Linked DNA regions of Mus musculus. The protein of the gene in region 3 purifies or fractionates together with the protein of the main gene of each other region. This does not show direct contact. Links are inferred from orthologs where the notes say so. Each region holds a gene or a part of one and is shown on either strand. Other genes may lie near its edges.

Region 1 (3,646 bases), on a different chromosome or scaffold from region 3:
GGTGAAGGAACATGTCCAAGACCATTTAGCACAGCGGTTCTCAATGTGTGGGTAACCTAAGACCATATTCATATCAGATATTTACATTATGATTTATAACAGTGAATTTAGTTATGGAGTAGCAACAAAGATAACTTTATGGTTGGGGTCACCACAGCATGAGGAAGCCTGTTAAAGAATGGCAGTGTCGGGAAGGCTGAGAAGCACTGCTCTAGCAGGGGTGCTGGAGTGGACAGTCAGGCTTAGCCTATGCGTCTATGCTCATATCACACTGAGAACTGTGACTGATCAGGGTTATTGACCGACTGGGCTGTAGAGCATAGTCCCTATTCTGTCCCTGGCTCTCATCACGCGTAGCTGCCAATAATCAGGAACCAAGCAAGGGCTAGACTCCAAGACAGCACCCCACCAACACCTTTCCAGGAAACAGCACAAAGCCCTGCCAACAGGCACACTTACATCATGGGAGAAAGCATAGGGTGCAATCCATACGATGGGCTGACCCAGCACCTCAGCCTGATAATAAATGCCTTTAATGGACAGGAAGACCTGGGGAGGGAGGGAGAACAGCATGAAAGCCAAGGAGTGACAGGGCAGGACCAGGGCTCCCCAGAAGAGCCTCAGCTCACCTTGCGCAGGGCTCGGGCAGTGATGACATAGTGCAGGAACTCCACAGTGAGCCTACGGCACAACTGAATGGTCTGCACATGACACTTGCCAGTCCGAGGGAAGGTGGAGAAGAGGAAGCACATTGACAGGGCATCATCGAGGTCCCGCAGAGCATCGATAAATGTGGGGTACCTGCAGGGTGGAGAGGGCAGCATTCATGCCCACTCCATTGGGTTCCAAGGCCCTCTATCCAGAGGCCTTGACACCCAAGCTAGGCACTGCCACAGCTACTTCCTCAGATGGTGATAGCAACAACTTTCCCACAGCTGGCCATGCATCTGCAAACAATCCTGTAGCCACTGAAAACTAGAAAGTTCCAGTGAACTCTTGGGACCTCAGGAACCTTCCCCATGTTACCTTCTGTGAACGAGGACACCAAGTTGATGGCTCTTTGACTCTACTTGAAACTGGAAAGGCCCACAGAGAAAAAGGAAAAACGGGAAGTCGACCTAGTAGGCCAGGGAAAGTGGGCTTCCTTCCCCAGGCGCACTGGCACCTGGGTGGTCTTGTCTTCCCGTTTCTCAGCAGTCCGATGCATGTATCTGACAGATCCATCTCTAACTGGGACCCTGTCCAGTTAGAGTAATCACGGATTTCCAGGATCGCCGTGGTGAGTGAAGAAGCAGACAAAGTATCACTTGGGCAAGAGTGCTGGGATTGAATGATTTTTTGAGATAGGGTCTTACCTGTCTCAAAAGGTGTCAAAGCACAACTGCTTTGGTGGTTTCCAAAAAAAGGGACAGAAGTGTGGGACACAAAAGACACTCCATCTCAAGTCGTGGTACCTGAACTGAGCTGTGACCCTAACTGGGTCACTAGGCCTCATCTAACTCCAGCTTTATCTAGAAAAAGGCACTGCTGAACAAAAATGACTTAAAATACGGTGTCTTTAAGCAGCTGTGGTGGTGCACACCTGCAGTCCTGGCACTTGGGAGACTGAGGCAGAAGTATCCTGAGTTCCAGGCTAGCTTAGGTTACACTATAAGATCTTATCTCAAAAATCAAACCACCAATCCACCCACCTCTTGTGGCTCTAAACACACCGAGTAAAGACAAATATGCAGGACTCAGTTTCCCTCCTCAAGCTCGGCATCCCCAGAGCTGCCAGCATCTAAACCACAGTCTAGGAAGGCTCACTGGGAGAAAAGGTCTTTCCAGGTGTGCTGGAGCACACCTTTAATCCCAGCATTTGGGAGGGAGCGAGGGAGGGAAGGAGGGAGCGAGGGAGGGAGGGAGGGAGGGCGATCTCTGGGAGCTGGAGGCCAATGAATTTCAGGATAGTCAGAGCTAGTGAGACCCTGTCTCAAAAAACCATTCAAACCTTTAATTCCAGCACTTGGGAGGCAGGGCAGATTTTTTTAGGTCAGCATGGTCTACAGAGCAAGTTCCAGAACTCCAGAGAAACCCTGTCTTTAACAACAACAACTAAGATTGCCCTGCCATGTTATAAAGGGCTCTGAAGGGCACAGGCAACACTGCTTACGACAACTGAGAGGGCTGCCAGGACTTCAAAAGCAGGCAGAGATGAAGGGAAGCCTTAGGGACCTGGCAGGTGATGGGACAGCTTCCTAGGTTCCTGAGGCAGAGGAAGCATCCTTCTTCAGCCCCCTTGGTGCCTCAAAGTTTCCTAACTTTCTACTCTGTAGACAAAGCTAACACCCCAGGCCCTTTGTAGGTCAAGCACACGCCTCTTCTAGACCACCCGGCTTTGGTTCTGGTAAAGGAGACTTTTTGCTTTGTGAATGAACCCAGGTGCTTGTTCTGGGTTCATTCACACCCACTATCTCTTCCATATAAAGGTCATGTCATAGGCAGGACAGGAGCTACCAAAATGTCTGTTAGTAACGTGTACTTGCTCAGGAGTTCCTGTCCTCTGGCATCCAGTTCCTGATACCAACTGTTATCTTCCAGGCCAAGGCCCTCCAGATCCCAGGAAGGAAGCTAGGCCCCTTCATTCTGGAACTAAGTGTGCCTAGACCACTGCACAGAACAGAGATAATAGCCTAGTAGTTCTACACTTAATTAGTTCCAGGCCAAAGTGTTGTGGAAACTATTATGAACACTGAAGAATATTTAGCACCAATGCTGGCTTCCATCCAAACTGTAGGAACTACAAGGGTCTTCAGGCATTTGCCCAATTCCCCAGAAAAGGCAGAAGTCACTGATCAGCTAGTGACTGGGAGGGGTCTTTGGAAGGCTGAGCAAGAAACAGTTAAGACCAGACCTCTCTTACCATGCTTTCTAAGTCTGTAGTATGGGAACTAGTGGCTCCAGCTCTTCCACCATGGGGCCTTTGAAGGTACTGCTGTCTCTGCTCATGAAGTGTATTCCTGGCTGCCCCAAATAGGTCATTTTGCAGACACCTCTCTGAGTATGCAATTGTACCATACACCTAAGCCCTCTCCATGCTGCCTTACAACCCTTACTGTAACCAATGCTACTTACAATCAGGACTGATTGCTAGCTTGGCTTTTGGTCTAACTCCTCTAAGAGGACATGCACTATCAGTCAAGTGCTGGTCTTGAGCCCATTTCATCCCTAACACTAGGACAGCACTCAGCAGCAACAGCAGCATTCTGAGGTGCAGGACTCACCGCTCCTTGACAATGTGGTCAAGTTTGTAGCAGGGTTTATTGTCCTTCAGGCGCTCCACAGCATTCCATTCGCTCTTTCCATAGGCTTTGCGGAGCTTCCGAACAAACACCTGGAAGAAGGGACCAATGAGGCTTCGGCCAGGGCCTCTGAGCATCTCCTCTATGGAGGATGAACATGGGGCAGGGTCTTCTCAATGCTTTCTGAAACTGGTCATACCTGTTTGCCTGGGCCAACAGGCCCCTCAGCTCAAGAATGCCAAACAGCCCATTGCATGGAGCTCTAGACCCATGATAATGACCAGAGGTGGTTTAGGGCCCCGCCTCTGATGCAAGGCTATGTTGACACCACATTTACCTGGGATGAGAAGGCACATCAGCTGTTT
Region 2 (4,413 bases), on a different chromosome or scaffold from region 3:
CATCCTCCCTCGCAAACACGTACCACTGGCACCCCTAGCAGGAGCATCCCATCTCAGGCTCTGTCTCTAGAAAACTCAAGACGATCCCTAGACCAGTGTCAGCCCGTTGTCCCATAGAGGTGGTCTGAGAATTGTCTGACGAGCAAAGACATGAGCACGTGGGCATTCGTCATTCTCAGGAAAGGCACAGACAACTGAGGTTACAAACCCTGGAGCTCAAATGTGTGACGAGGGACGGATAGAGGACCAGGTTCCCGAGGACACCACGAAGGGGACAGTGTGAAGCGGACAGCTCCCAGGCAGGCACTTCCTCTTTCTGGCCATCCTCATGTGCAGGAGAGCCCATGGAAGCTGGTCCCTCACCCACCTGTGCCAGCTCCTCAGAGGTCTCCTCTGCCCTATGGTTGTCTTCGTCACCGCTGGATCCGGCCACTCCTTCAGTGTCTTCCTCACTCGAGTCACTGCCCAAATCTTCGAGGCCTGAAAACACACTCTCCTCGCTGTCAGAGAGACTGGAGTCAGGATCGCTGAGGAGAGGAGGCTGCAAGGAATCAGAGGGTTTAATAACTGCCACCTGGAAGCAGGTGCCTCTGGTCACACACTTCCGTCTGCGCCGAAACCACTCACCCGGCCTGGAACCCTCCTCCTCTCCTGCCTCTGTGGACAGAACCTGCCCTCGGAGCAGACACACCAGTCCCCAGAGCCGTGCAACAAACAGAGGGAACCTTTCAAGAACACACTGGCTTTGTGGGGATCAGTTTCTTCTCACTGTGCCACCAAAACCAAGTTTCCTCCACGGACACACTCCACACCCTACTGTCACCTAAGGGTCCTGAAACTGACACCAGCTTGGAATGGGACCCTGGGCCTGGGGGGGATTAGAACTCCCTGGAGGCTCTGACCAGCTGCAACAGGAGGCTTCTTTACCCTGACGACCAGGACCAAGCCCTGACGGACAAGTCGGAAAGCTGAAGATTAGCAAGATAAGCCTATGTGTTGGTTTGAATGACAAGAGCCCCCCACCCCCCTATACGCTCATACATTTGAATGTTTGGTTCCCAGGGGATGGATTGCTGAAGAAAAATTAGGAGGCGTTGGTAGGTCACTGGGCGTGGGCTCTGAGGCTTCAAAAATCCACATCAAGCCTAGAATCCCTCCCTCTTCCTCTCTCCCAGCTCATCAAGATATAAGAGAAGCTCTTAATTGCTGCTCCAGCACAATACTCTCTGCCATGGTGGTCAAGGACCAACCCGCTAAAACTGCAAGCAAGCTTCCAAGTAAGCTCTTCCTTTGATAAGGTGCCTTGGTCTTGGTGTTTCATCCCAGTGCCAGACAAACAAACCATCTGCTGTCTTTTTTTTTTTTTTTTTGAACAGAGAATCCTGTGAGTACAGCCCTAGAGGCCACTTTACAACGAACACAATAAGACATTCAAGCATTGTGAACAGTTTTCTATCACTGACCTCCAAAAGTTGAACAAGTACTTGAACACTGGAGGAAGCATGTGACTGCACCTAGTACTCACACTGTAGACCAAGCTGACCTCGAACTAACGGAGGTCATCTGTCTCTGTCTTCTGAGTGCTGGGATTAAAGATGGGTGCCAATGCCGCTGGCTAGTTCTTGTCTACCTGAGTGGCCTTCGCTGCCAATCATCACAGTGATCACCTGAGTTTCCATAGATGTCACACTGACATTCTCTTATTATTGACATCTCTAAAACTACGCTACTTGTCATACTAACAAGTAAAAGTACTGCACGCAGTTAGGGCATAAACAACTGACTATTAAAGGCTTACTGCCTAGAACTACACAGAGGGAAAAGCTTAGGGGCGTTTCATAAAACAAAGGGACAACTTACGTAGTGGTTCTCAACCAGTGGGTCACAATCCCTCTGGGGCGAGCAACCCTTTCATAGACTATCCTGCATATCAAATAATTACGATTCATAACAGTAGCAAAATTACAGTTATGTTTTCTTTTTGGTTTTTTCGAGACAGGGTTTCTCTGTGTAGCCCTGGCTGTCCTGGCACTCACTTTGTAGACCAGACTGGCCTCGAACTCAGAAATCCACCTGCCTCTGCCTCCCAAGTGCTGGGATTAAAGGCGTGTGCCACCACCACCCGGCAAAATTACAGTTATGAAGTAGCAGCGAAAATGATTTTGTAGTTGGGAAATCACCGCAACACGAGGAACCGTATTAAAAGGGCCACAGCATTAGGAAAGTTGAGAACTTTGAGGATCCAATTCAGTGGAGTCAGCTGTGCATGCCTTCTACCACCTACATTTGATGAATGTAGCAAGCCTACTGAGCTTAGCAACATGGACTAGCAATGGTTCCATGACAACCAGTTCTGGATGCCCTGGGTTCCAATCAGACTTCCATAATCTCAAGTCCTCTTTTGATTCACAACACACCTGACATGCTGGCTTGGTAGCACAGCACGAGCGCAATTACAACCTTTCCCAGGACAGGAAGCACAGATGGAAGGTCCAGAGACTATGGTGAGGGGACTCTTAAAGGTCTCTCCCTTAACACGGTTCAAGCCACAGAACTATCCCCCGGGTTCCAGCGCCCCTCGGCGCAAGTAATGTTCTGCTGAGAGTTCCAAAATAACAGCCCAGACTGGACGATCAGGCTCTAGGCGACCCACACGACACTACACGCTGCGCCACGGCCCGGCCTCCCTGGTCTTGCCAAGTGCCTGCATGGTTCCCAGAGGGATGCTGTCCGCTACTTGGAAGTTACCTCTTGTATCTGCAGCTCCTGATCAGGTTCCAAACGTCGTTTCCCCGGCAGCGATGCCGGTGACATGTGGGGCTTACCACACGCCCCCGCCATGCTGCGCCGCGCCGGCTACCGATCTACTGCCGCTTCCGGCAGCGGGAGCGCCTCGTGTGCCCCCAGCCAGGCTCCGCCCTACCAGGCTCTGATTGGTGAGCAGCCCGGGTGAAGCCATCTTGCGCAGGCGTAGGGTGCGGCGCAAGGGCTGGGCCGGCAAAGTAGGCAGGGGAGATCACGGCGCCTGCGCACAGAGGCTACAGGTCTGGCCCTAGCGAGAGCGCGCCGGTCGCAAGATGGCTGCGGCCATGCGAGGCCTTGCTGTGTGTGCGCAGCGGGCGGCGGAGCGGCCCGGACGGCAGGGGCAGCGACGACACTAGCTCAGCCTTCAGCCACTCTTCTAAAAGGCCACCCCAGCCTCTGCCTGCTTTCGTCCGAGATGGATCTGGCCGTGGGCCCCGGTGCAGCGGGGCCCAGCAACGTCCCGGCCTTCCTAACCAAGCTGTGGACCCTCGTGAGCGACCCGGACACAGACGCGCTCATCTGCTGGAGCCCGGTAGGAGCTGGCATGGGCCGGAGCGGCCTTCGAGGGAGGGTCCTGTGGCGGGAGGGGACCTGCTTCGGAGAAAGCGGCCTGCGAGTTAGTCGGGCTCGCCCGGGTTCAGCCATCCTGGCATCCTAGAGGGAGGACGCCGCTGTCTGGGGAGGAAGTGCGCCCCGCCCCCAGAGCCACTCACGGAGAGTAGGCCGAGACCCCAAATCATCCTACATTTCACCCGGACAATAAGGACGGGGCTTCCAGTACAGGGTCTTTGCTCACAGAGAAATAGTTCCCAGAGTCCGTCTGCGTTTCTGCTTTTTAGGCAATCATTCAGAATAAGTGGAAGGCCTAAGGAATGCATGAGAGAAGAGCGAGAATAGGAGGATGTGGAGCCTAAGCTCAGCCCCGATAGTCTCCAGACGCCAGAGCAGTTTTGCCCGGCCCTCCAAGGGCCGTGTCGAACCCTGTTCTGTTGCCTGGCAGCGGACTGTGTACACCGCACACCCTGCTGGCCCTGCATCTCTGGCTGGCTTGCAGAGGTCGTTCCGTGTTTGTGTTAAGTTGGAAAGTAGAATCTGCTGTTCACATGTGGATTCTGAGGGCCAGAGCGCGCAGAGCTAGCCGATGGTGGTGGCCTGAAGACAGGCCACCCTGATTCAATGGGAACCTTTGGAGGGATGGAGGCGGCTAGGTGCCACCACCTTGACCTTCTGCAAGCCAAATCTGGCGGGTCTCTCGGTCTCTGCGGAGCACTGCCCCCTCGCACAAGTTTCTTAAGCTGGCAAGAATGGAGAAAAGGCCTGGGTGGCAGATGGAGGCCAAGGCTTCTGGCTCTCAGTTGCCTGTTTGTTTAAACTCTGCTCTGCCTAAAGGGTGTTTTGGGAATAAAGAGAAGACTAGAAAGCACGGAACTTCACTTTTCACGAGACGGTCTTTGTGATTATCCCATGGGCTATCCGTGGGCCGCGTTGTTTTCCTGAATGCCATATTCAGTTCACAGCCTGTCCTGGATTTCATACACCTGGGCAGAGAGTATGATCTTACCTTTCTATCTTTCCCCAATTTACCCCCCTCTGTTTTCTTTGACTGAA
Region 3 (3,646 bases):
CACTTTACACACGTGAATGCATGCAGCAAATACTCAGACACATAAAGTTAAATAAGTAAATCTTAAAATATATAATCCTTTCTTTCTATTTCTGAGAGACCTCATAGCAACTAAGGCTTGAAGCATTTCTTACCCAATCACTCTTTTGCTACACTAAAATTAGTTCAATTTTAAACTCTTAAATTCTTTTTATGTAGAATCTTACCTTTTTTCACCCAAGCCACATCTTTCACAACATCTGTATGTCCCACAATTGTCATTATCGACTTTCCTTCCAAGGACCAGATCCGAGAAGTCTTATCATAAGAACCAGACAGGATCCTACAATGAGGGGAAAATGCTATAAAATACAGAATGACTTTGAAGCCCTGAAAACCAATCCTTTCTATGGCAATGACAAAGTAAACTATGAACAGTAAACCCTTCTTTTTATGAAGAACAAGATTTCAAAGCAAAGCAATAGGTCAGATGTTATACTAAAATATGGTATTTCACCTTTGTTACTGTAAAACTGAAAATGTCACCAATGCAATACAATCTGCTTATAAAGCCTAACAATCCTTAATCCCTGAAAACTATTAAAGAGCAAAAACACGGGTGGGGATGTAGCTCAGTGGTGGAATACTTGCCCAGCAAGCAGAAGCCTCTGGGTTTGATGTCTAGCATAGTAGTACACCTTTAATCCCAACACTTGGAAGACAGAAGCACGAGTTCTCTGAGTTCAAGGCTAGCCTAGTCTACATAGGGAGTTCCAAGATGGCTAAGCAGTAAAGCACTTGCTGCAAAACCCAATGGCCTGAGATCAGTGCCCAGAACCCACATGAAGGTGGAAGGTGAGACCCAACTTGATAGAGTTGTTTTCTGCCACATGTTTTACACACATGTACAATGGCACGACCATGACTGACACACACACACACACACACACACACACACACACACACACTTCACAAAGCAAAATACCTAATAAAATGAAGGCCAGAAGTAAGCTACCAGTTAGGATGATGATCAGCTGTAGGTATTTGCTCTAAGATTAGCATTCATACCTCTTTGACAGCAGGCTGCCCATGTTGGCTCTACAGTAGTATGTCTGCAACTTCATGGTAGCAGGCAGGGATAGCTATAAAAAATTAAATTTTCTCTTCCATGAAGATATCTCTGGTCTTAAATATCAATATCTGCTGACTTATATAGACTATAAAGGTCATGCCACAACATTTTGAAACAAAGAAACCTACTAATAAACACTTGTTTTCTTGAATACACTGGCTGCAAAAAAGCCAATTTGGTGTGGCCACCAACATACACAGCTTGGATTTATTTTTATGAAGAAAAAGAGACCAGAGAAGTAGTCACATGGTGCATGGCAAAGACTGAAGGAGGTACAGAAGAGAACAGCATATCCCCACGGCATACCATTCTTCTGCCCCTTCAATTGAGCTGATCCAGTCATCATGGAACATGCACTGCTCTGGCTGGGGTGCGGTGTACTTTTCCACATATTCTAGTTCCACAACCTCTTCCTAGTCACAGAGAGAGTAGAAAATAAGTCAGGGACAGTTTTAAAATATTACCTTGAAGACAGAAAATATGGGAGCCATTTAAAAGTTAAGATTTCAGCTTGGTGTGGTGGTATACCCCTTAATCTTAGTACTTGGGAGGCAGAGGCAGCTGATTTCTGAGTTCAAGACTGGCTTGGTCCACAGTGCAAGTTACAGAATGGCCTGTCTTGACACTCCCCCATACCCCCTGCACCCCCGTGCCCCCTCCCCCTGCAAAGACTGGCTAAAATGTTAAGTATGCTCTTATATTCTATAATATCTTAAAATCACAAGATTTTATAAACAATTACAAATTATATTTTAAACAATTTTATTACATTAATCTATTTTGTGTGTTTGCACGCATCCATGCATTCCACAGTGGAGGTCAGCGGATAACTTGTAGGAGTTGGTTCTCTCCTTCTACTATGCGGATCCTAGAGAGGAACTCAGGTCAACATCAGGCTTTGTAGCCAGCGACTTTACTCAGTGAGCCATCTTGATGGCTCCAAATCTCTCCCCCCACCCTCCTTGACAGGGTCTCACTATATAGCCAGGTTGGCCCAGAACTCATAACATAGACCAGGCTGGCAATGAGCTTACAGAGACCTGCCTAGTTCTGCCTCTTGAGTGCTGGGATGGTACCATTACTTATAGCTGTATTCTTTTTGGTTTAGATTTTATTTATTTTGTGTGTATGGGTGTTTTGCCTGCATGTATGTCTATCATGTGTATACAGTATCCAGGAAGGCCCAAAGAGAGAGTCAGATCCCCTGGGACTGTTACTGACAACTGTTAGTCACAACATGGGTGCTGGGAACTGAGCCCAGAACCTCTCAAAGAGCAGACAGTGCTCTTAACCACTGAGCCATTTGTCTAACTCCTAGTGATATTCTTTTTTAAAAAAAAATGATTTATTTATATGAGTACACTGTCGCTGTCTTCAGACACACCAGAAGAGAGCATCAAATTCCATTATAGATGGTTGTGAGCCACCATGTGGTTGCTGAGAATTGAACTCAGGACCTTGGGAAGAGCAGTCAGTGTTCTTAGAACTGCTTATCCATCTCTACAGCCTCTGATATTCTTAATTAAAAAAACATCAAGGAAAACTAAAAAATTACAGGGGAGGTATCACAATCACTGTAATCTAACCCACATTTTCTAAGATGTGCAATTATGCTGTACTCCTGTTTAGCAGTATACATATACTTATTCCTTTTCTTACTAATGCTTTCACAGACTTAAAGACTGTATCAACTCCTTTGCATTTTCTTGAATAAAATACTCTTAGAGGAGCTCTACAAGATGACTATATAGAAACATAAATTCAAGTTTCTGGTGAGTGGTCAAAGGCGCTTGCTGGGAAGCCTGAGGTCCTGAGTTCAATCCCTGGGACCCACAGAAGAGAACGGATTCTCACCAAATATCTCCTTACCTTCACACACAGGTTATGGCAGCTACACATACCATACCATATCATACCATCAATCAATCAATCAATCAATAAGTAAATACAATTTTAAAATGTTTTCTAAGACTCCTAAATGTTGAAAACAATTTAAACTAATTCCATACGGATTCACTCATAATATAATATTTTGTAATGCGTTAAATCAAATAGAAGCAGTGCTCGGACTTACCGATGAAATGTTCTCCAGTTCCATGTGTTTGACCAAGGGCACTCGAAGAAACTGGCCCTTGATAAGGAAATCAAACTCGACATGCTTGTGGAGTTCTGAAAAAGAATTAGGGCCTTAGAATATCCTTGCCGAATGTACGAGAACCCCCACGCAATCAAGTACACAGCACCCACTGCGGCCTCAGTTACTCCACAGCTTCTCCTGGGACATCACACAGATATTACATCCTAGCATACTGCATGCTTTTTGTTTGTTTGTTTTTGAGTTAGGGTCTCTGTACTGGAACTCACAGATGTCCACCTGACCTTATCCTGAGTGCTGGGATCAAAGGTGTGTGCCACTATGCCACCTGGCTACATGACTTTTAAAGAACCAATATATTTCATTCTGTTAGCTTATTCTAGATTTTATGGTTCTTGCAATTATTTAGGGGTTGAATATAGGCTGTATGCACGTTAAGCA

Evidence for each region.
Region 1: the proteins of Wdr12 (region 3) and Pes1 purify together in Homo sapiens (co-immunoprecipitation; 7 studies listed by BioGRID and IntAct, counting the BioPlex papers as one, with this or other methods). This does not show direct contact. The link is inferred for Mus musculus from reciprocal best matches to the Homo sapiens genes WDR12 and PES1.
Region 2: the proteins of Wdr12 (region 3) and Bop1 purify together in Homo sapiens (affinity purification with western blotting; 6 studies listed by BioGRID and IntAct, with this or other methods). This does not show direct contact. The link is inferred for Mus musculus from reciprocal best matches to the Homo sapiens genes WDR12 and BOP1.

What each region holds. Positions count from the first base shown.
Region 1 is NC_000077.6:3,970,352-3,973,997, reverse strand, and holds part of Pes1 (pescadillo homolog), read right to left. Parts: intron 3,374-3,646; coding exon 3,264-3,373; intron 802-3,263; coding exon 630-801; intron 550-629; coding exon 460-549; intron 1-459. UniProt on the Homo sapiens protein: Component of the PeBoW complex, which is required for maturation of 28S and 5.8S ribosomal RNAs and formation of the 60S ribosome.
Region 2 is NC_000081.6:76,474,381-76,478,793, forward strand, and holds the start of Bop1 (ribosome biogenesis protein BOP1), read right to left. Parts: upstream 2,870-4,413; 5' UTR 2,842-2,869; coding exon 2,749-2,841; intron 542-2,748; coding exon 368-541; intron 1-367. Other genes in the region: Hsf1 (heat shock factor protein 1), read left to right, coding at 3,221-3,337. UniProt on the Homo sapiens protein: Component of the PeBoW complex, which is required for maturation of 28S and 5.8S ribosomal RNAs and formation of the 60S ribosome.
Region 3 is NC_000067.6:60,087,836-60,091,481, forward strand, and holds part of Wdr12 (ribosome biogenesis protein WDR12), read right to left. Parts: intron 3,280-3,646; coding exon 3,185-3,279; intron 1,524-3,184; coding exon 1,417-1,523; intron 322-1,416; coding exon 206-321; intron 1-205.